3 linked regions of the Ovis aries genome follow. The protein of the gene in region 1 binds, or shares a complex with, the protein of each later gene. Links are inferred from orthologs where the notes say so. Each region holds a gene or a part of one and is shown in the gene's direction. Other genes may lie near its edges.

Region 1 (7,827 bases):
AAGACTTAATCTTTTGATAAACACTTACGAAAGTGGTCCGAGTGATTACAGAGTGTTTGATTTTGTAAGTAACCTAATTATTTTCTAGCTTTATCTTTTCCTTTTTATGTTTAAAGTTCCAAATAACATATCTACTTTTAAAATTTTTAAATAACTTCTGTTAAATAAAAAAACCCATTTTAAGTATGTGTTTTGATAAGTGTATGCACCTTTGAAAGTTCTGAAACATTTCATTTAGCCTAAAAATCCCTCTCTGCCCCTTTACAGTTACTCCCCTGGCCCCAGGCAACAGCTGATCCACTTTCCAGACGTAGAGGCAGCTTTGCCTGTGCTAGGGTACTGTGCAGGTGGCACCCTCCCAGTCAGTGTGTGCTTTCTGTGGGTCTGTCATCTTAGCCCAGCATAATGTTTGCATATATCAGCGAATTCCTTTTCATTGCCAAGTGGCCTCTTGTGTGGATGTAGCACAGTTTGTTTTCCAGTTGCTGACCTTAGGGCTGTTTCTAGGTTGAAGCAATTGGGAGTAAAGGTGCTGTATGTGTATAGTCTTCATGTCTGCTGTGTGTTTATTTCTCTTGGGTAGATACTCAGGAATGGGATTGCTGGGTCGTTGTGTAAGTGTGTGTTTAACTTTACAAGAAAGTGCCCTGCATGCTCTCAAGTCCTGCCGCAGCATGTGAGCATTCTCGTTGCTCCACACCCTCACCAGCACTTCTGTTTTCACTTGAGTCTAAAAGTGAAAGTGTTTTCCTGTTGACTTACGATCTTGAGCATTTTGTCAACTGCTTAGTAACTGTTCATGTATCTGCATTTGTAAAATGTCCTTCACATCTTTTGTCCGTTTTTTATTGGTCTGTTTGTTCATCTTTTATTGCATTTTGATTGTTCTTTATTCTGGATACAAGTTCTTTCTCAGATGTATGTATGGTAGATGTTTTCTCCTAATCTGTGTCTTAATTTTTAATTTTCTTAATGGTATCTTTCAAAGAATGGAAATTCTCAATTTTTTCACAGTCTTAGACCATTGTTACCCTCTAGAGCCTGAAGGGTTAAGCATCTTCCTAAATTCTCACGTGTTGTTCGTTGAATTTCACAGCTAGGTCTACTTCCACACCCTAAGCTCTTACCTACTAGCTCTGTGCTACTGGGCTGCGGTGAAGAAGAAAGTGAGGGGTGTGAGATGATGGCCCAACAGCCCCATTTGTTCTCGGACGGTGCCTGTCTGCACATCTCACCTGCACTTCTGCCAGCCGAGTTCTGCAGATGCTTGACACCAGCCAGTCTAACCCATTGTTCTCTAACTGCCCACAGGGTGCCATGACTCCTGGAATCCCTATCTTTAGTCCAATGATGCCTTACGGCACAGGACTGACTCCACAGCCTATTCAGAACACCAACAGTCTGTCTATTTTGGAGGAGCAGCAACGGCAGCAGCAGCAGCAGCAGCAGCAGCAGCAGCAACAGCAGCAGCAGCAACAGCAGCAGCAGCAGCAGCAACAGCAGCAGCAGGCGGCAGTGGCAGCCGTCCAGCAGTCGACGTCCCAGCAGGCAACCCAGGGGCCCTCGGGCCAGACACCACAGCTCTTCCACTCACAGACTCTTACGACTGCACCCTTGCCGGGCACCACTCCCTTATACCCCTCCCCCATGACCCCCATGACCCCCATCACCCCTGCCACGCCAGCCTCAGAGAGCTCCGGGATCGTGCCGCAGCTGCAGTGAGTTCTCCTTGGTGCCCTGCCCCTGCCCTGGAGGGACCCCCGCAGCTGCGCTGCTGTTCTCTGCTCTCAGATGGATTGATTCACTTGTGTAGTGTTACTGGTGATCATGCATCAAAACATGCTTTATCTTACTTGAGAAAGGGAAGGGAAGCTGTCTTAGTGAGTCAGTGCCCCCAGTAAAGGTCTCTCAGGACATCTTCAGGAATTTGGTAGCTGTGCTTAGATGCTTGGGCCAGTGAAGTCCAGTTTGGATTGCATTATTGTTGTTGATATTTCACTGTAGCTGATTAACCAGATCAAGCCTTATATAGTCTCCCTCCCTTGTGGTATTATAAGTCTTTGGAAAGATTAATTGCAAAGTCACAGAATCATCATTGTTCATAGTGGTCCCTGTTTTTCTTCATTGTTTATTATAAGGGCTGCATATAAATCTTTGAGAGCTGTGTCCTTCCCACAAGCTGAGGATGGCTGTTCTTGCCCTAAATGGATCTTTCTACCTATGTGCAGTGGGTCCTGTATGTAACAGGAAAAGGGTAGGGGGACAGGTAGGGAAAATTTCTCCTCCCTGAAAAACAGATATCCTCATATCTGTCAGTAAGAATTATATAGCTTTTGCCATGAGGAAGCTTATAACCACATGAAGGGTTATTTGTAATAATACATCACCCAGTTTTCATGCCAGTCACTCCTAATCATTTTTAGAACTAAGTAATGTTTAATCATGGATCATGACTGTTACACAGAGACCTAAATCTTGCCCTGGGTGTGTGTTTGGTCTGAAACAATTTAAAAAAACAAAATAATGTTAATGATTTTAGAAAGATAAGCACTTACTAGTTCACCTTTGAAAATACCATATGCTGTTGTCTTGCACAGTTACCTGGCTCCTATGCCCATTTAAGTTTGCACCTTTGGTTTAAATTGTAATTTATACCCAGTTCAGATGGGTGTTTATTTCTTGCCAGCACCTTAATATTTCTGGTATTCCACAAAGCATCCCCCAAAGTTCACAGAATTGTGGAAATTAAATAACATACTTTTAAACAGCCAGTGGATCAGAGATCACAGGGGCAATTAGAAAATAGTTAAGACAAATAAAAATGAAAATACTGTATAGGGCTTCCCAAGTGGTGCTAGTGGTATAAAGAATTGCCTGCCAGTGCAAGAGGTGCAAGAGATGTGGTTGGATCCCTGGGTCAGGAAGATCCTCTGGAGTAAGAAATGCAACCCACTCCAGTATTCTTGCTTGGAAAATTCCACGGGCAGAGAAGCCTGATAGACTTAATGGAAGCCTGATGGAGCACGGAACATATTTGGGATGCAGCAAATATGGTGCTGAGGGTGAGATTTATAGCTGCAAAGGATCACATTAAAAAAAATATTTCAAAGCAATAACATTACAACTAGAAAAAGAGCAAACTAAACCAAAAACTGTAAGAAGGAAGGAAATAATGATTAGAGCAGAGATAGATGAAATAGAGACAAAGAAAACACTAGAGAAAATCAATGAAACAAAAGATTGGTTCTTTGAAAAAATCAACATGTAGTTAGACTAACAAAAAGTGAAGACTCAGAGTGCTAAAATCAGAAAGGACAGTAGGGATGTTGCTACCGATTCTATGAAGTAAATAGATAAAGTTATGGGAACTTGTGTATATAAAATTGATTAGAAGAAAACAGATGTATAAAAATGTTAAAAATGAAAAGGGAGTTTTTGTCTCCCGCCTGCGATGCTGTGAGGCGCAGGCGCCTCAGCACAGTTACGGAGGGGCTGCTCCGGAATACCAGTTGCCCCCTGACATCAGGGGGAGCAACTGGGCGGGGTGGGGGGCCCCCAAAGAGAGGAGAAAGAGTTAAAAAAGTTCATTGGACCTATGTAATAAATATCAGTGTCTGGTTTTCTTGATCTACTGAGCGTTAATTGGAAGAAAAAGGTTTCCTTCCTTTGTCAGAGATAATTTAATTTTTGTTTGTCCAAGATACTTATTTTGAAAGAAGGTATATACATGCCTCACTTAGGCATGTATATACAGAGCAGTTTCTTCATCTGAAGATGGCAGTATTAATAGTTATTACTTCATAGTGTATTGTGAGTACTAAGTGAGGTTATCTTTGTATTATGTTGGCATGGTGTTTGGTACTTGTTTGAACACTTAATGTCAGCAATTAAAAAATTTGTTTAATTAAAAAAAATTAGGAAAGATTGTGTTTTTTAGATAACTAACAGTAAATAATCATGTTTTCTTTTCAAATTTTTTACAGAAATATTGTATCCACAGTGAATCTTGGTTGTAAACTTGACCTAAAGACCATTGCACTTCGTGCCCGAAATGCTGAGTATAATCCCAAGGTCAGAACAATTGTATCAAACCACAGTGATAACAGAATTTTCTTCCAGAGGTCTTTCGATTAAAAAGAATATGTTGTGTTTAAGTTTGTTGACACCAACCAAACAAGAATTTAAAGCAAAATATGTAGCGTTTTTGTTGAATAACTGCCAAGTAAGAGACTGTCAGAATACAGCAGTCCACAGGATAAAGTCTCATACTTACTGTGAGGGGATCATGCACAGTTACTGAACAAAGTATGTAGTGTGGTCCCATTTGCATTTTGAAAACTATGTAGAATAGAATGCCAGGCTACTTGGAATTTACTTCAGAATAATGCAATTGGAGAATTGGGAAAGGGGCATTTGAATGAGACAAGATTAGCCAAAAACTAGTAATTGTTAAAGTTGGATAATAAGCACAAGGAAGTTTAATATATTTTTCTACCTTTGTATAACTGCCAAGTTTTTTTTTTTAAATAAAAAGATTAAGAAGAAAATACCTACAAATTTTCAGATTTTAAGATAGCAACCTAATGCATATGGCAAATCTGTATGAGTATAGCATTATAAGAATTAACCTTTTGTCTATCATAATTTTATTAAGTTGAATACATAATTTTACATTTTTTTTTTTTTCTAATGAAATGATAGTAGTTATCCAACCAGTAAAACTGGTTAAAGGAATTTAGGAAATGTAAAAAACTATAGAAGGAATTTAGAAAATGCTAAATAATTAGACATTTCCTGGGACTTGTATAAACTAGAATATAATGCTACCATTTTTACATGGTGGTAAAGTTAGAAGGAAGACAGATCATAGTTTTTAAATTAAAATTGTTAAAGCTATCTAACTTATCAGAGTCATCTTCATTAGAAATATGTGAATTTTTATGTGTACTTAGGTAGCAGATATCACATTTTTAGAGAAGCCACTGCATTTGTATAAATGCCAGTAAAGCAGTGCAGTTTCTAAGAGTCTACGGGAATGGGGAGGTCGCTTCACTGTGTGCTGATGTGCTTGTAATCTGATATATTCCTTCTGGAGGTGGAAAGGTTTGTAAGTTGATTTGCCTAAAAAATCATTAATAAAACAGAAAATTCACAGGTAAAGTTTTGCAGATATTATTTATCTTCAGTTGTTGGGATGTCATGACAGAATCCAAAACTCTTGGCCCAGCTGCCTCTGTCGTCACAGTTGACGTGTTTGTTTCCTATGCAAAAGCATGTGTGCCACGTGGCGATGGAAGGGAGTCCTGTAAGGAAACACGTGACAGGTGTCGTAACTGGCTCAGCACCAGGTCCCTCTCGTTGTCTGGGATGCTCCTGTTGTTGTGTAGGTCTCCTGATGGAAGTCAGCAGTCTGACCTCATTAACTGTTGTCTCTGGCTGTTCCAGCGGTTTGCAGCTGTCATCATGAGAATAAGAGAGCCCCGCACCACCGCACTGATATTCAGCTCTGGGAAGATGGTGTGCACGGGAGCCAAGAGGTGGGTTAGAGGAGCTCCTTGTCCAGGCCTGCATGTTACAGAGACGGCTGTGCCATGGCATCTAGGGCTAGGCTGCTGCTTTAATGCAGACACAGTGTTACTGTTGCTTTCGTATTAAAGTAGTTGATTCTCATCACCTTAGACAGTGGCGGCTTCATTTTCTTAACAATAGGCGTTAGTTTAGGACGTGTGTTCCAACCTTATTTCTGTGTAACTCAGCGTGTGTACGTGCCAGACTTTCGGCATTCGTGACTGTGCACTTGATAGCCTTTTGTCAACAATGATGCTACGGCTTTCATTCTGCTTTTGTTACAGAAGCCCTGCACTGCTAAGTCATATTTTATCCAACAAGTCAGTTCTAGGAATGGATAAAGAAGGACATACCATAAAAGAGGAATTAGTGTATACATTCTTTGAGCATAAATCTCATCAGTATTTTCCTATCAAAGTGACGCTTGTTGGTTTTTATCTTAGTACAAATTTGTGGGCTTAAATACAGCAATATTCATGATAATGGTGATGCTGATATTATACTTCATATCCATGAAATCTGGGGCTATCAATAATTTGGTGACTTGAAAGGTACTCGTTTTGGTAGGCCTGCAGTTTTCTGTCAAGGACGTGGGAAAGTTTCTCTCGTCTAAATAATTGCGTCAGCTGTCTTTGAGAATGAATAGCTCGCTTTTTCTTCCCTAGTGAAGAACAGTCTAGACTAGCAGCAAGAAAGTATGCCAGAGTTGTACAGAAGTTGGGCTTTCCAGCTAAGTTCCTGGACTTCAAGATTCAGAACATGGTGGGGAGCTGTGATGTGAAGTTCCCTATAAGGTTAGAAGGCCTTGTGCTAACCCACCAACAATTCAGTAGGTAAGTCTGAAATACATGGGGTGGTTGCTTTTGTCAACAATTTAAAGTTATGATCTATTTAAACATTGTTCATGGTAAAACTTAAGCAGAATAATCAGTTCAGTTCAGTTCAGTCGCTCAGTCGTATCCGACTCTTTGCGACCCCGTGAATTGCAGCATGCCAGGCCTCCCTGTCCAACTCCCGGAGTCCACTCAGACTCACGTCCATCAAGTCGGTGATGCCATCCAGCCATCTCATCCTCTGTCGTCCCCTTCTCCTCCTGCCCCCAATCCCTCCCAGCATCAGAGTCTTTTCCATTGAATAATTAGTAAGAACAAATGATACACTGATAGGTACATTTATTGCTGAAGTGTCTTCCCGATTTCTTTGGTAGTACCTACTGTGCTCACCAGCCTCCTACTTCTCTATCTTGTAACTCAGTGACACCCAGAACTCCCCTTTACTGGCATGAAATTGATTCCCTTCTGTATGTTTCATCATTTTATTGCTCAATAAATACATTTTAAATGAACAAATGAAACCCACAACCTCTTGTATCAGTTTTCCCCCCAGTTGTTTGAGTCTTTTGTTCTACTTCCTGAAGAAGACTTCAAAGGCAGGTGGTCCTTGATCACCTCTCACAGCCTGTCTGCTCACAGCAGCCCCATGGCTTATCATGTCCCTCTTGCACCAGGACCCTTGCACATCCCACTTTTATCCCTGGCACACTCTTCTGTCACTTTTTACCTAAGAAACTCCCACTGGCATTTCATGTATCCATCCCAGCGTCTCCCTTCCTCAGAGAAGCCTGCCTTGAATTTTCCAGTAAGTTAAACACGGTCATACATCCTGTTTTCCATCTAACAAAGTGAGATTACTAGGGTTAGAACAAAATCGTACCAATAGTGCATTTAATCAGATAAAACAGGGCAAGGTTCAGTCTCCAACCAGTGTCTTTTCTGGCACTTTGGTTAAATTGCCTGAGCAAACGTAGCAGCTAGAAGATATTTCACTTTAAGGAGATGCGATGTGAATGATTAGAAAATCAACTGTGTGACTGGCAGATCTTATAGATGGATAATTACTGGGCTCTTTTAAGTTGATATAAACTTGTCCAGAATGAAACTTGATAAAAGATCAGAGACTACAGAACACATTTATAAAACTCTTGTTCTTATGTCAGGAAATCCAGATTCATTAGAAACAGAATTAGTTGGTCTTCAAGTGCTAGTGACAGGTCAGCCTCACTGGCCAAATGCTGCTTGCAGAACTGGGCTTCACCCCCTCCTTAGTTTGTGGCTAGCCCAGTGCTTTCCCTTGGTCAGGTCCTCGTGTTTTCTAAAGGCATGAGCAGCTGCTAATCCAAACTGTTGTTGCTATTTTCCTTCTAGTTATGAGCCGGAGTTATTTCCTGGTTTAATCTACAGAATGATCAAACCGAGAATT
Region 2 (7,269 bases), on another chromosome or scaffold:
TGAACAGTATGAAAAGGCAAAATGATAGGATACCAAAGAGGAACTCCCCAGGTCATTAGGTGCCCAATATGCTACTGGAGATCAGTGGAGAAATCACTCCAGAAGGAATGAAGGGATGGAGCCAAAGCAAAAACAATACCCAGCTGTGGATGTGACTGGTGAGAGAAGCAAGGTCCGATGCTGTAAAGAGCAATATCGCATAGGAACCTGGAATGTCAGGTCCATGAATCAAGGCAAATTAGAAGTGGTCAAACAAGAGATGGCAAGAGTGAAACTCGACATTCTAGGAATCAGTGAACTAAAATGGACTGGAATGGGTGAATTTAACTCAGATGACCATTATATCTACTACTGTGGGCAGGAATCCCTCAGAAGAAATGGAGTAGCCATCATGGTCAACAAAAGAGTCCAAAATGCAGTACTTGGATGCAATCTCAAAAATGACAGAATGATCTCTGTTCATTTCCAAGGCAAACCATTCAATATCACGGTAATCCAAGTCTGTGCCCCAACCAGTAACACTGAAGAAGCTGAAGTTGAACGGTTCTATGAAGACCTACAAGACCTTTTAGAACTAACACCCAAAAAAGATGTCCTTTTCATTATAGGGGACTGGAATGCAAAAGTAGGAAGTCAAGAAACCCCTGGAGTAACAGGCAAATTTGGCCTTGGAATGTGGAATGAAGCAGGGGAAAGGCTAATAGAGTTTTGCCAAGAAAACGCACTAGTCATAGCAAACATCCTCTTCAACAACACAAGAGAAGACTACACATGGACATCATCAGATGGTCAACACCAAAATCAGACTGATTATATTCTTTGCACCCAAAGATGGTGAAGCTCTATACAGTCAACAAAAAAAACCAGGAGCTGACTGTGGCTCAGATCATGAACCCCTTATTGCCAAATTCAGACTTAAATTGAAGAAAGTAGGGAAAACCGCTAGACCATTCAGCTATGACCTAAATCAAATCCCTTATGATTATACAGTGGAAGTGAGAAATAGATTCTAGGGACTAGATCTGATAGACAGAGTGCCTGATGAACTATGGATGGAGGTTTGTGACATTGTACAGGAGATTGGATCAGGACCATCCCCATGGAAAAGAAATGTCAAAAAGCAAAATGGCTCTCTGAGGAGGCCTTACAAATAGCTGTGAAAAGGAGAGAGGCGAAAAGCAAAGGAGAAAAGGAAAGATATAAGCATATGAATGCAGAGTTCCAAAGAATAGCAAGAAGAGATAAGAAAGCCTTCTTCAGTGATCAATGCAAAGAAATAGAGGAAAACAACATAATGGGAAAGACTAGAGATCTCTTCAAGAAAACTAGAGATACCAAGGGAACATTTCATGCAAAGATGGGCTCGATAAAGGACAGAAATGGTCTGGACCTAACAGAAGCAGAAGATATTAAGAAGAGGTGGCAAGAATACACTGAAGAACTGCACAAAAAAGATCTTCACGACCCAGATAATCACGATGGTGTGATCACTCATCTAGAGCCAGACATCCTGGAATGTGAAGTCAAGTGGGCCTTAGAAAGCATCACTATGAACAAAGCTAGTGGAGGTGATCGAATTCCAGTTGAGCTAGTTCAAATCCTGAAAGACGATGCTGGGAAAGTGCTACACTCAATATGCCAGCAAATTTGGAAAACTCAGCAGTGGCCACAGGACTGGAAAAGGTCAGTTTTCATTCCAATTGCAAAGGAAAGGCAATGCCAAAGAATGCTCAAACTACCACAAGATTGCACTCATCTCACACGCTAGTAAAGAAATGCTCAAAATTCTCCAAGCCAGGCTTCAGCAATACGTGAACTGTGGACTTCCTGATGTTCAAGCTGGTTTTAGAAAAGGCAGAGGAACCAGAGATCAAATTGCCAACATCCGCTGGATCATGGAAAAAGCAACAGACTTCCAGAAAAACATCTATTTCTGCTTTATTGACTATGCCAAAACCTTTCACTGTGTGGATCACAATAAAGTGTTGAAAATTCTGAAAGAGATGGGAATACCAGACCACCTGAGCTGCCTTTTGAGAAATCTGCATGCAGGTCAGGAAGCAACAGTTAGAACTGGACATGGAACAACAGACTGGTTCCAAATAGGAAAAGGAGTATATCAAGGCTGTGTATTGTCACCCTGCTTATTTAACTTATTTGCAGAGTACATCATGAGAAACACTGGACTGGAAGAAACACAAGCTGGAATCAAGAATGCCAGGAGAAATATCAATGACACCACCCTTATGGCAGAAAGTGAAGAGGAGCTAAAAGCCTCTTGATGAAAGAGAAAGAGGAGAGTGAAAAAGTTGGCTTAAAGCTCAACATTCAGAAAATGAAGATCATGGCATCTGGTCCCATCACTTCATGGGAAATAGATGGGAAACAGTGGAAACAGTGTCAGACTTTATTTTGGGGGGCTTCAAAATTACTGCAGATGGTGACTGCAGCCATGAAATTAAAAGACACTTACTCCTTGGAAGAAAAGTTATGACCAACCTAGATAGCATATTCAAAAGCAGATATATTACTTTGCCGACTAAGGTCCATCAAGGCTATGGTTTTTCCAGTAGTCATGTATGGATGTGAGAGTTGGACTGTGAAGAAGGCTGAGCGCTGAAGAATTGTTGCATTTGAACTGTGGTTTTGGAGAAGACTCTTGAGAGTCCCTTGGACTGCAAGGAGATCCAACCAGTCCATTCTGAAGGAGATCAGCCCTGGGATTTCTTTGGAAGGAATGATGCTAAAGCTTAAACTCCAGTCCTTTGGCCAGCTGATGCGAAGAGCTGATTCATTGGAAAAGACTTTGATTCTGGGAGGGATTGGGGGCAGGAGGAGAAGGGGACGACAGAGGATGAGATGGCTGGATGGCATCACTGACTCGATGGACATGAGTCTGAGTGAACTCCGGAATTTGGTGATGGACAGGGAGGCCTGGCATGCTGCGATTCTTGGGGTCTCAAAGGGTTGGACATGACTTAGCGACTGAATGAACTGAGCTGAACTGATGCTGAAGCTTCAATAATCTGCCTACCTGATGTGAAGAGCCAACTCTTTGGAGAAGACTCTAATGCTGAGAAAGATTGAAGGCCGGAGGAGAAAAAGGTGACAGAGGATGAAATGGTTGGATAGCATCACTTACTCAATGGAGATGAGTTGAACAAGCTCTGGGAGATAGTGAAGTACAGGGAACCCTGTTGTCCTGCAGTCTACGTGGTTGCAAAGAGTCAGACATGACTTAGCGACTGAATAACAATAACAACAATGTAGTATTTGGTTACTATTGACCTTCTGATGACACCTCAAAAGGAGGCATATCCACTTTATGTGATCCCAGATCACTGAGACATGATGATGTGGATGGCTGGATATCTAGAGCAGACAATGTCAATCACTAAGGATCCTCAGAGGGATGAAGCAGGACAGCAAAAGATTTCATCACATTCCTTGGAATGGCAAAGAATTTAAATGTGAATTGTTTGTTTCTGGAATTCTCGTTTGATATTTTCAGACTGTGGTTGACCACAGGTAAGTGAAACTCTGGAAATAAAAACTGTGGATAAGAGGAAACAACTGTATATAAAATATGATATATATTGCAGTATATTGCAGTTCCTTGGACTGCAAGGATATCTCACCTGTCAATCCTAAAGGAATATTCACTGGATAGACTGATGCTGATGCTGAAACTCCAATGCTTTGGCCACCTGATGCAAAGAGCCGACTCATTGGAAAAGATCCTGATGCTGAGAAAGATTGAAGGTGGGAGGAGAAGAGGATGACAGAGGATGAGATGGCTGGATGGCATCACTGACACAATGGACATGAGTTTGAGTAGGCTCCTGGAGTTGGTGATGGACAGGGAATCCTGGCATACTGAAGTCCATGGGGTCGCAAAAAGTCAGACACGACTGAATGACTGAACTGAGCTGATATTGCAGTAAAAACGGATGAATACAAGAATATTTTCTTTATCAAAGATAAAAAGCATGATCGATATGCTAGGAACTGTTTCCTAAGTTATTTCCTATATTAACATGTTTAACTGATATATAAAAATACAGTGAAATATTGAAGTATTATTACCTCCATTTTGCATAATGAATTATTATTAGCTCCATTATTACCTCCACTGGGTATAGAGAATGTGTATAAAAACCTAATTTAAAAAAAAAAAAGCGATGTTGCTTCCGAACATCCTGCTCACCGGTACACCAGGGGTTGAAAAAACTACATTAGGCAAAGAACTTGCATCAAGATCAGGACTGAAATACGTTAATGTGGGTGATTTAGCTCGAGAAGTTTGATCACCGGATATCATGGAGTCTGGCAAGATGGCTTCTCCCAAGAGCATGCCGAAAGATGCACAGATGATGGCACAAATCCTGAAGGATATGGGGATTACAGAATATGAACCAAGAGTTATAAATCAGATGTTGGAGTTTGCCTTCCGATATGTAACCACAATTCTAGATGATGCCAAAATTTATTCAAGTCATGCTAAGAAAGCTACTGTTGACGCAGATGATGTGCGGTTGGCAATCCAGTGTCGTGCTGACCAGTCTTTCACCTCTCCTCCACCAAGAGATTTTTTATTAGATATTGCAAGGCAAAGAAATCAAACCCCTTTGCCATTGATCAAGCCATACTCAGGTCCTAGATTGCCACCTGATAGGTATTGCTTGACTGCTCCAAATTATAGACTGAAGTCTTTACAAAAAAAGGCATCTACTTCTGCAGGAAGAATAACGGTTCCACGGTTAAGCGTTGGTTCAGTTACTAGCAGACCAAGTACTCCCACGCTTGGCACACCAACCCCACAAGCCATGTCTGTTTCAACTAAAGTAGGGACTCCAGTGTCCCTCACAGGGCAAAGGTTCACAGTACAGATGCCCACTTCACAGTCCCCAGCTGTAAAAGCATCAATTCCTGCAACATCAGCTGTTCAGAATGTTCTAATTAATCCGTCATTAATTGGGTCCAAAAATATTCTTATTACCACTAACATGGTCTCATCACAAAATACTGCCAATGAAACATCAAACACATTGAAAAGGAAACATGATGACGATGATGACGACGACGATGACTATGATAACTTGTAATCTAGCCTTGACGCATGTAACTTGTATACTTGGTTTTGAATCTGTTGTACTGAGATTAAACATGCATGCTGGATATTTCCATGTTGTGTTCTAGAAAGAATAGTATTTAATGAGTAAATATGCTTACCATACTTTTTGATTGAGCTGTTGTGTTAGATTTTCTTTGATAGGATTAGTAATGGTTTCTCGTCACCCTTTAAGTGTAAAAAATAAAGTTGCAATTCGTGCATTTAAAAAAAAAAAAAGCAAATCCAGAAGACTGCATATAGAAGACTGCATACAGAATGCTACCTTATTTTACTAAAACTAAAAATCAAACAATGCTCAAGATTATGTTATTTAGGAATATATATGCAAGAAAAAATTTTCCAAGAATGGGTGTATTATATGGTTAAAAATTAAGAGAGTAATTATCTCCAGGAGATTAGCAGACCTACAGATGGGTGATAGCTTTGAAAGTATTAGCAATGGTCTAGCTCTTATGACTTTCCCGGCGGCTCAGAGAGTAAAGCGTCTGCCTACAAAGTGGGAGACCTGGGTTCAATCCCTGGGTTGGGAAGACATCCTGGAGAAGGAAATGGCAACCAACTCCAGTATTCTTGCCTGGAAAATCCCATGGATGGAGGAACCTGGTAGGCTACAGTCTACAGGGTTGCAAAGAGTTGGACACGACTGAGTGACATTTACTAATATTACTTTAGCTCTTATGACAGGTGGTAGATTCATAGTTGATGATTACAAGATGATGCTTCATAACTTTTATAGGCATTATATATAGTTTTACTTATACCAAAATTATACTTTAAGAAGTTTAGCACCTGCATTTTGTGATATTTAGATTAACTGTTCAGGGGCTATTTTTCTTATTTCCTGGTTTCCAGCTACAGTGCTTAAGAGATAGGATTACTAGGTAGCTGACTTCTAGAGCAGCAAACAAAATTATAACTTTTTTTTCTTTTCAGTCTGGGTAGTCATTCTAAACATAAATCAGTTTCAAAATAATGCTTATAAAAGAATAAATGGTCCCACTAAATGCAAAAAACAATTTGACCACTGAGAAATATGTTAACAGCTTTCTCAAATCAATATGCCAACATTATTGTAATTTCTGAATAATGGTAATAAAAACAACACTTCCAGATAGAGCTCTAACATGTAAAAAGTTGTGAAGCTATCAAACCTGTCCTTAAGACAAGAAAACATTTTATAAACTAAAACCAGTGACTTTTGTTGAACAACAGAAAACTGAATTTGTAGGGTTAATTGTTGCTCCACAGTCTGGACATGCAGGCACATTCAGAGAGACAGAAGATCTGCTTACCTGGAGCAGAAGCTGATGAAGCAACAGATAAGAGCACTTAAATAGTAATTTTGATGAACTGTTGATAGTGTGGACTAGTATAAGAGGAAATTCTGGAGATCACAGTCTAAGGGGTTCAGTACTTGTTCCATGCAGCTCACCAAGTTCTCACTGTGAAGATTCGAGAATACCTTATGGCTCTGGCAGGGCTGGGGATAGAAGAGAAATCACTGCAAAATGCATTCAGAGCACTTTCCATCAGGAAGACCTAAACTCCAGGGGAAAAGACTTTACCAAATCCTTCCCCAGCTGGGAAAGAACATTTCTCCCACTGTGCCTTTCTCTATCCTTCCCATTACATTTTAAAAGTGAACAACATCTATATCATTGGAAAAATATTTGTAACAGTCACAGACTAGAACCACAAGCCTAAACCAAGATTTAGTCACAGAAATATAAAATTCTTTCTTTCCCCTACATCTGGCCACTATACCAGGGATCCAGAGTACAGTGAATTACAGATGAAAGATGTAGACTCTGTCTGCAGAAGAGTGAGATGGGAGTTCAAAAATAAAAGGAGAGATAATAACAAGAACACTGGAGGAATTTGAAGTCTCTGGTAACTACAGTACCAGCTAACATTGAACACAAACTTATAGCCAGATTAACATAAATTCTCACACTAATGACATCTAGACTTCACTACTAGTTACTTAATACATGTACATCTTTCAACAAAAAGCTGTAAGACATTAGAAAGAAAGAAAGAGGGAAAGGAGAAGGAAGAAAAGAAAAGGGAGGGAAGGGAGGGAAGGTGGGAAGATGGAAACTGTGAAGAGCCAAAGCAAGCATCAGAATCAGACT
Region 3 (8,430 bases), on another chromosome or scaffold:
CTGACACACAGTGGTGTTTAATGACTTTGGGAAAGAAATGAATTGACCAGTGAAGAAGGAGTGAGCGAATACAGAGCTATTCCCTTGGTGATCTTACCTACTCTCATGACTTTAAATACCATCTAAGCAGAAAGCACACCCAAGAATATATCTTCAGACCAGAACTTGCTTCTGAATGCTAGACTCCTACATCCAATTGCCTTCTCATCTGACCTGCACATCTTATGAGCATCTCTAACTTCATATGCCAAAGATCAAGTTCCTAATTCCTCCTTTACCTCCTCCCAAACTCTTTCAGCCATAGCCTGCCCCTACCCTGTCAAATATATCTTCACTCTTCCAGGTGCTCAGGACAAAAATCTTGAAGTCATACTTGACCACCTTCTTCCTCTATAGCTGCTTGATGAACTTTTTGTCCATCAAGTTATCCTTATGGTTCCACCTTCAAAATACACATTTCCATGTCTACTTCTCACTGTCTCCCCTGCTTTCACCTGGTTCAAGCAACCAGGATTATTTTGATAGTCTCCTGACTTGCCTCCCAGCTTCTGCCTTTACCCCTGGCAGTCCATTCTCCTCACAACAGCCAGTGTTGGTTATTTAGTCGTGTCTAACTCTTTGTGACCCCATGGACTGGAGCCTGCTAGGCTCCTCTGTCCATGGAATTTTCCAGGCAAGAATACTGGAGTGGGTTTCCAGTTCCTCCTCCAGGGAATCTTCCTGACCCAGGGATGAATCCATGTCTCCTGCATTGCAGGAAGATTCTTTACTGTCTGAGCCGCTGGGGAAGCCCCACAATAGCCAGACTGACCTTTTAAACATGTCAGATAGAAATCCTCCACCTGCTCATACAGTGTCTCTAAGCCCTTATAACTGGATTTTGCCCCCTTCTCATTTTCTGCTCTCCCTTTAGTTCACCATTCCAGCCACTGGCTGACCTCCTTGCTGATCCTGAAATGAAACTCAAGACTAGAGCCCTGGTCCTCGCTGTTCCCTCTGCTGGGAATGATATTCCCAGCATGGTTCTTACTCCCTTGCCTCATAGGTCACCTTCTCAGTGAGACCTTTCTTGACCACTTCACTTATTTTTTTTAATTAACTTTTACTGGTACGGTTGCTTTACAGGGCTGTGTTAGTTTCTATTGTACAGTGAAGTGAATTAGCTATAGGTATACCATGTACGTGTAGCCCATCCCTCTTTTTTTTTGGATTTCCTTCCCATTTAGGTCACCACAGAGCACTGAGTAAGGTTCCCTGATCTATGCAGTAGGTTCTCATTAGTTATCTATTTACACTTAGACTTAGTATCAATAGCGTATCAATATGCCAACCCCAGTCTCCCAATTTGTCCCATCCTTCTTTGTCCCATCCCTTGGTGTTCATACTGTTGACTACTCCATTTATACTGTTGACCGCTCCATTTAAAATTGAAACCGCCTTATGGCTCCCATTCTCCTTTACCTGTTTTATTTTTCCCTCCTTGGCAATCATGCCCATTTAATATACCATATATTTTCCTTATTTATTTTTTCTCTCCCCACTAGATTATAATCTCCATAAAAGCAGGAATATTTCTTTACTGGGCTCACTACTGAATCCTCAAGACCTAAAACAGCACCTGTTTAGTGAAATGAATGTGTTCAATGAAGGGACAACAATGAAACTAAATTTAATAAGTATTTACCATGCGAGGATCCCTTGCAAGGGACTCATGGATAGTAGCTAATTTTTACAGGGGAGGCACAGAAAAGCTGTGATAAGAAACCCAGGTGTAATTCAACAATGTGTTCTTTCCTCCAGAACCTGGCACCTCTCCTGTGCTGTGAAAAGCCGCAAGTAGGTGGAGAATCCAGAGGGTTCAGGGTACAAGCCATGGCACCCCTCGCAGCCCACATACTTAGAGTATAGCCAGGAGAGATCAGCTGTCAGTTCAGTTCAGTTCAGTCGCTCAGTCATGTCCAGCTCCTTGTGAGCCCATGGACTGCAGCACACCAGGCTTCCCTGTCCATCACCAGCTCCCAGAGCTTACTCAAACTCACGTCCATGAGTTGGTAATGCCATCCAACCATCTCATCCTCTGTCGTCCCCTTCTCCTCCTGCCTTCTATCTTTCCCAGCATCAGGGTCTTTTCCAATAAGTCAGCTCTTCACATCAGGTGGCCAAAATACTGGAGTTTCAGCTTCAACACCAGTCTTTCTAATGAATATTCGGACTGATTTCCTTTAGGATTGATTGGTTGGATCTCCTTGCAGTCCAAGCGACTCTCAAGAGTCTTCTCTAACACCACAGTTCAAAAGCATCAATTCTTTGGCCCTTAGCTTTCTTTATAGTCCAACCCTCACATCCATACATGACTACTGGAAAAACCACAGCTTTGATGAGATGGACCTTTGTTGGCAAAGTAATGTCTCTACTTTTTAATATGTTATCTAGGTTGGTTAAAGCTTTTCTTCCAAGGAGCAAGCATCTTTTAATTTTAAGGTTGCAGTCACCATGTGCAGTGGTTTTAGAGACCCCCAAAATAAAGTCTCTCACTGTTTCCATTATTTCCCCATCTATTTGCCATGAAGTGATTGAACTGGATGCCATGATCCTAGTTTTCTGAATGCTGAGTTTTAAAGTCAACTTTTTCACTCTCCTCTTTCACTTTCATCAAGAGGCTCTTTAGTTCTTCACTTTCTGCCATAAAGGTGGTGTCATCTACATATCTGAGGTTAGTGATATTTCTCCCTGCAATCTTGATTCCAGCTTGTGCTTCTTCCAGCCTGGCATTTTGCATGATGTACTCTGAACATAAGTTAAATAAGCAGGGTGACAATATACAGCCTTGACGTACTCCTTTCCCAATTTGGAACCAGTTTGTTGTTCCATGTCCAGTTCTAACTGTTGCTTCTTGACCTGCATACAGATTTCTCAAGAGGCAGGTCAGGTGGTCTGGTATTCCCATCTCTTTCAGAATTTTCCACAGTTTGTTGTGATCCACACAGTCAAAGGCCTTGGCATAGTCAATAAAGCAGAAGCAGATGTTTTTCTGGAACTCTCTTGCTTTTTCGAAGATCCAGCGGATGTTGGCAATTTGATCTCTGGTTCCTCTACCTTTTCTAAAACCAGCTTGAATATCTGGAAGTTCACGGTTCACGTATTGCTGAAGCCTGGCCTGGAGAATTTTGAGCATTAGTTTGCTAGCATGTGAGATCAGTGCAATTGTGTGGTAGTTTGAACATCCTTTGCATTGCCTTTCTTTGGGATTGGAATGAACTGAGCTTTTCCAGTCCTGTGGCCACTGCTGAGTTTTCCAAATTTGCTGGCATACTGAGTGCAGCACTTTCACAGTGTCATCATTTAGGATTTGAAATAGCTCAACTGGAATTCCATCACCTTCACTAGCTTTGTTTGTAATGCTTCCCTAAGGCCCACTTGACTTCACATTCCAGGATGTCTGCCTCTAGGTGAGTGATCATACCATCGTGATTATCTGGGTCATGAAGATCTTTTTTGTATAGTTCTGTGTATTCTTGCCACCTCTTCTTAATATATTCTGCCTCTGTTAGCTCCATACTATTTCTGTCTTTTATTGTGTCCATCTTTGCATGAAAATTTCCCTTGGTATCTCTAATTTTCTTGCAGAGATCTCTAGTCTTTCCCATTCTGTTGTATTCCTGGATTTGTTTGCACTGACCACTGAGGAAGGCTTTCTTACGTCTCCTTGCTATTCTTTGGAACTCTGCATTCAGGTGGGTATAACTCTCCTTTTCTCCTTTGCCTTTAGCTTCTCTTCTTTTCTCAGCTATTTGTAAGGAAGGCCTCCTCAGACAACCATTTCGCCTTTTTGCATTTCATTTTTCGCATTTCTCACCAGCTGTCGGAAAAGACTGAATCCGCTCAGCAGTAGGCGCCGCCCACCTTTTTTTTTTAACTGATTGGCTCGGGTTCCTAGAGTAGGAACGGGATGCTTTCTGGGAGGGATGCCGGATTAGCGGAGCTTCCTCCCACCGCTCGCGGAGGCTTCCCTGCGGCTGTAGGGGACGGAAATCCAGAGTCAAGAGTCTGGGTTTCCGCCCGGAGGGCTCTTCCCGCCGCTCCCGGAAGCTGCGCTCGCTGCCCGGGTAACGGGTCCCGGCGGCTGAAGCGGCTGAAGCGCCGTTATGGACCTGGAGGAGACGGTGAGAAGTCCGGCTGCCGCGCGAGCAGGCGACGGGGCGGGAGGGCCGTGAGGCTGAGGAGCAGGCGCTGAAGGACGCCTGCCGGCCGTGGAGGCGCTCTGGTCTCGAAGTGGGGCGGGTCAGAAAGGGATGGAGCTGGCGGGCCGCGGGTACCGGCGTGGTGGGGGAGACAGGCTGGAGCCCCTGGCTGGCTGAGGTTGTGAGTGGAGACGGGGTGAGGTGTTGATCGAAGGGGGTGTGTTTTAGAGGGAGGATGAACTTGTGGGTTTTGTGAGGTGGCCGCCCTCGTGGCTCACCTCCTCTAGACTGGACCACCCGCAAGTTCCCTTTGATGCTGGAGGTTGGGCGAGGGAGGCCTGGGGCTGGAACCCGAATGCCCCCCAAGTAACCCCTGTAGCCCCAAGTAACGTCACATCTCCCAGCACCTAGTCTTTGGGAATCCTCGTCTCAGCCTTGCGTAGGGAGGGCCAAATTCGGGTGTGAGGGCACGGCCAAGATTTCACTAGTTACCAGTATAGGGTCCCTGAAAACTTGACCTGCTTTTTAAATCAATTAGCCGTGCGTTTTGCCAGTCTTTGATGAGAGTCCTTTGGACTGCGCGGAGATCCAACCAGTCCATCCTAAAGGAAATCAGTCCTGAATATTCATTGGAAGGACTGATGCTGAAGCTGAAACTCCAATACTTTGGCCACCTGATGCAAAGAACTGACTCATTTGAAAAGACCCTGATGCTGGGAAAGATCCAAGGCGGGAGGAGAAGTGGAGGACAGAGGATGAGATGGTTGGATGGCATCACCGACTCAATAGACATGAATTTGAGTAAACTCCAAGAGTTGGTGATGGACAGGGAGGCCTGGCATGCTGCAGTCCATGGGGTTGCAAAGTCAGACTGAGGGACTGAACTGAACTGAACTGATGGTGTTAGAGGAATATTGGGTAATTAGATCAATGATAATAAGATTTCACACACCGAAGAGCTGAGAATTAATTATTCACTGCCAGTCTATGTATGTACAGAAGCATCATGGTGATAGAAGGCTTTTCTCATTGTAGGTGCTCGATAAATGTCTCTTGAATGATGGTTAACGGTGTGTAGATACTTGGTTAATGAAATGAACAACTCGAACTTACCATGAACCTGTAGAGTTAGGAGTGGGGCTCTTGTCTGTTTTGCTCAACGTCACATCTCCAGCACTTAGTTAAGTGTATACATAGTAGGTACTCCTTGGATTGCTGAATGAACAAATGGAAACTTGAAATAACTGTAATAAAACTCTGGTTCCTTTGTGTTGGGTTATGTGTTCTTAGTGTCCTGGAGGAAGTTCCAAATGGTATGCTGTTTATGTCTTCTCTATACTTAAATCTCATCTTTTTTCCTCACAGCATTTTCAAGTTTTATTTACTCATCTTCCCCCACCCCCCACTTTACCGCTACCATCTTTTTTCTTCCCCTTCCCACACACTGCGTGTTTTAGTTTAATTCTGTTTCAAACTGCTCAGACTGAACTGCTGTTCTCCTTGTTTGTAGATAATAGTCTCTGGTATGTTTTCTATTTTCAGTGATTCTTTACTGATAGAGTAAAATTGCAGGGAAACCTTTAGGTAGAACGGCAGGGTTTAGGTGCAGTGTGTTAAATATGACGTTCCTTTTCTCCCACAGAGAGAGTTCAGAGAGCGCTGTTCTCAGTGTGCCGCTGTTTCTTGGGGTCTTACTGATGAAGGCAAATATTATTGCACTTCTTGCCACAATGTTACAGAAGTAAGTAACAAGTCTCATTTATGAATTTGCTTGTGCTTTAAAAATTGCAATGTCAGCCTAATGTATGGCATAGTACCCCCCCACCCCCGCCAAATTGATCTATTTTTATTACTAAGCAGTGCCCAAATACCGAGAATGTAAGTCGTCCTCAAGTACTGACACAAGGGTTAAAGACTTTGAATGAGATTTAGGATGAGCTTCTGAAACTATCTTGGGCCATAAATATAAGTGTTTTCCTGATTCAGACTGTATGGTATATTTATAAGGGGAAATAATTAAACTTGCACTTGGACGATGATAAATTTCTTTTCATTAGTTAGTACTTATTTAAGAGTTTTTAATGTGCCATGATAGCATGGAGGTTTGGAATATACAATGTTAGAGGACTGTCGTGAGTACTGGAAATATACATTGTTATCTTTATGTCTTTGCACAATGCCTTACACATCGTGAGTGTTTTCTTATCCATTCATTCATTTCCTCCTCTTTACAATGTGTGAGATACACTATTATGCCTGTCTACAGGTAGGGCAAGTGGGCCTCATCAGGTGAGTTTGCCAAAGTCTCATGGCTAGATAGTGTTGAGGCAGGATTTGAACCTGAGGCTTCTGACTCCAGTGTTCATTTTATTTTACCACATCTGCCTCTTAGGACAGAGGCTGACATCCTGTCCTGTGGGTCCTTGGTAAATGGGACTGCATTCACACAGGAAATGCTAGGTCCTCTTCTCGTCACCACAACCCTCAGGACAGAACAACATAACCAAATAATCCAGAGTGTGGACAGCCTGCTGTTGGGTGGGCTAAACACACCAGGACTTTTCTCTCCGGAAGAGGATTTGCTCAAACTCTACAGAGCCAGGAAGAGCAGATATGTTTATTATCTTTGCCCTGTAGTCCTCTGGGACTTTTTTGAGAAAAGTGGTTAATTTAGCTTGCAACTATCACTGAGACAGTCATTGTTCTTCATTCTGCTTCCCATTTGCTCACTCACAGTATTTATAAGATATGAACTCACTGGATGAAATTGTTGGGGCGATGATATGTTCATTACTTCGTTTGTGGTGATGGTTTCACGGATATACATACACACACATCAGATCATACACTTTAAATATGCACAGTTTGGTCCTTTGCTTTGATGTTTGTTGAGGCATTAACAGTTTTTGGTTTTGTACCAGCAGTGCAAATGTAAACATGGTGAAGCAAGATGTGTATAATGGACTGTCATTAGCAGATGAAGACAGCGTATACTTTCTTTGGAGAAATTAAACTATTAATACATTAACTAATTGCTTTCTTTTATTTGTCTTTGATAGTATTTCTATTTATTTCTGTCTGATAAAATCTGCTGCAGTCAGTTTTTAACTTGAAAGGTCCTAATACCAGTATTTCCACATTTGAAAGGTACCAGCTTTGTATGGAATAACCTGTCAAGAGTGGAGCCTTCTGGACGGTGGGCACCATCTTCCTATAGGCCCAGAACCTATCTCAGTGCCTCCCGTGTGATAGACAGAGCTGTGTGTTGCACAACCTCAGTGGTTCTCTTGGCTTTATGGCACGTTCTTTAGATAGAAAAGGACATGACTGGTGTGGGCTTGGTGTGCCAATGTTTAAATCCACCTGGTGGGAAATGGCCGGTGAGCTGTGGTTACACCTATGGAGAGTGGAGGTTGTGGTACAGCTTTCCGTGTTTTTCTGCTCCTTTCATTGCCCCTCAACTTACTCTTGTATGTAATTTTCATTTTCTAGATACCCATCATCTGAAGGAAGGCCTTCTGAATTGATAAAGGAATTAGAATGTTATCTTGATTGACTTTATACAGGAAAAATATTTTCAGGTCTTAAATCTGGTCTATGTATAGACATTCTTGCAAGTATTTTATGGGTATTTAATAAAGGTATAAGCGAAGATCATGTGAGTTTAACAGATTTATATGATCATAAGAACAGATTTACTGTAGAAAATGTAGAAATGATGAAGGTGAAAGCTACAATCACCAGTGAGCTCAACATACATTTCAGTAGCTTCCATTTAGTCTTTCATATGAGAGACTGTCTGTATATGAGAGGGGCAAGGGGATATGGGTGAGTACCCCCAATCTTGTGTGAATGTGTTAATTAACTGTATAAATAGTCCACAGTAAAACCATTCTGTAGTTACAGCTTCAGTCTGGGTATTTAGCTTTTTTTAGCTTTTAGTTATTTTGCATTTTGTCTAATTCTTATTTTAAGCCTTCCCCCGCTATCCCCCCCACCCCCACTCTTTATAGGTTTTACCTTTTTTTGTTGGGTAATTGCTCTGGTGTGTGTTCTGAAGTGTCTTATGTTCTCAGTGTGGCCAACCCCATCCACCAGAACAGCTTTGAATGTGGTTTCTGTGGAGTACAGAGAGAATGTGTTCCACAAATCCTGTTGTTAAGAGACATTTCTTTTATTCTTAATGAAAGTTGAAGGTAAATTTCATTCCAAATCTCTAGATTTAGACAAATACATAGGTAGTGTTCAT

What was found. The genes of interacting proteins can lie anywhere in the genome.
Region 2: TBP (region 1) and transcription initiation factor TFIID subunit 9-like share a complex: the UniProt entries of both Homo sapiens proteins name them as parts of the TFIID basal transcription factor complex. The link is inferred for Ovis aries from reciprocal best matches to the Homo sapiens genes TBP and TAF9.
Region 3: TBP (region 1) and TAF1B share a complex: the UniProt entries of both Homo sapiens proteins name them as parts of the transcription factor SL1/TIF-IB complex. The link is inferred for Ovis aries from reciprocal best matches to the Homo sapiens genes TBP and TAF1B.

The regions. Positions count from the first base shown.
Region 1 is NC_056061.1:91,742,755-91,750,581, forward strand, and holds part of TBP (TATA-box-binding protein), read left to right. Parts: intron 1-1,311; coding exon 1,312-1,718; intron 1,719-3,983; coding exon 3,984-4,071; intron 4,072-5,445; coding exon 5,446-5,537; intron 5,538-6,233; coding exon 6,234-6,401; intron 6,402-7,772; coding exon 7,773-7,827. UniProt on the Homo sapiens protein: The TFIID basal transcription factor complex plays a major role in the initiation of RNA polymerase II (Pol II)-dependent transcription.
Region 2 is NC_056065.1:58,195,957-58,203,225, forward strand, and holds transcription initiation factor TFIID subunit 9-like, read left to right. Parts: upstream 1-4,181; 5' UTR 4,182-4,319; coding exon 4,320-5,105; 3' UTR 5,106-5,236; downstream 5,237-7,269. UniProt on the Homo sapiens protein: The TFIID basal transcription factor complex plays a major role in the initiation of RNA polymerase II (Pol II)-dependent transcription.
Region 3 is NC_056056.1:19,090,027-19,098,456, forward strand, and holds the start of TAF1B (TATA box-binding protein-associated factor RNA polymerase I subunit B), read left to right. Parts: upstream 1-4,097; 5' UTR 4,098-4,145; coding exon 4,146-4,163; intron 4,164-5,216; exon of another isoform or gene 5,217-5,377; intron 5,378-5,823; coding exon 5,824-5,922; intron 5,923-8,430. UniProt on the Homo sapiens protein: Component of RNA polymerase I core factor complex that acts as a GTF2B/TFIIB-like factor and plays a key role in multiple steps during transcription initiation such as pre-initiation complex (PIC) assembly and postpolymerase recruitment events in polymerase I (Pol I) transcription.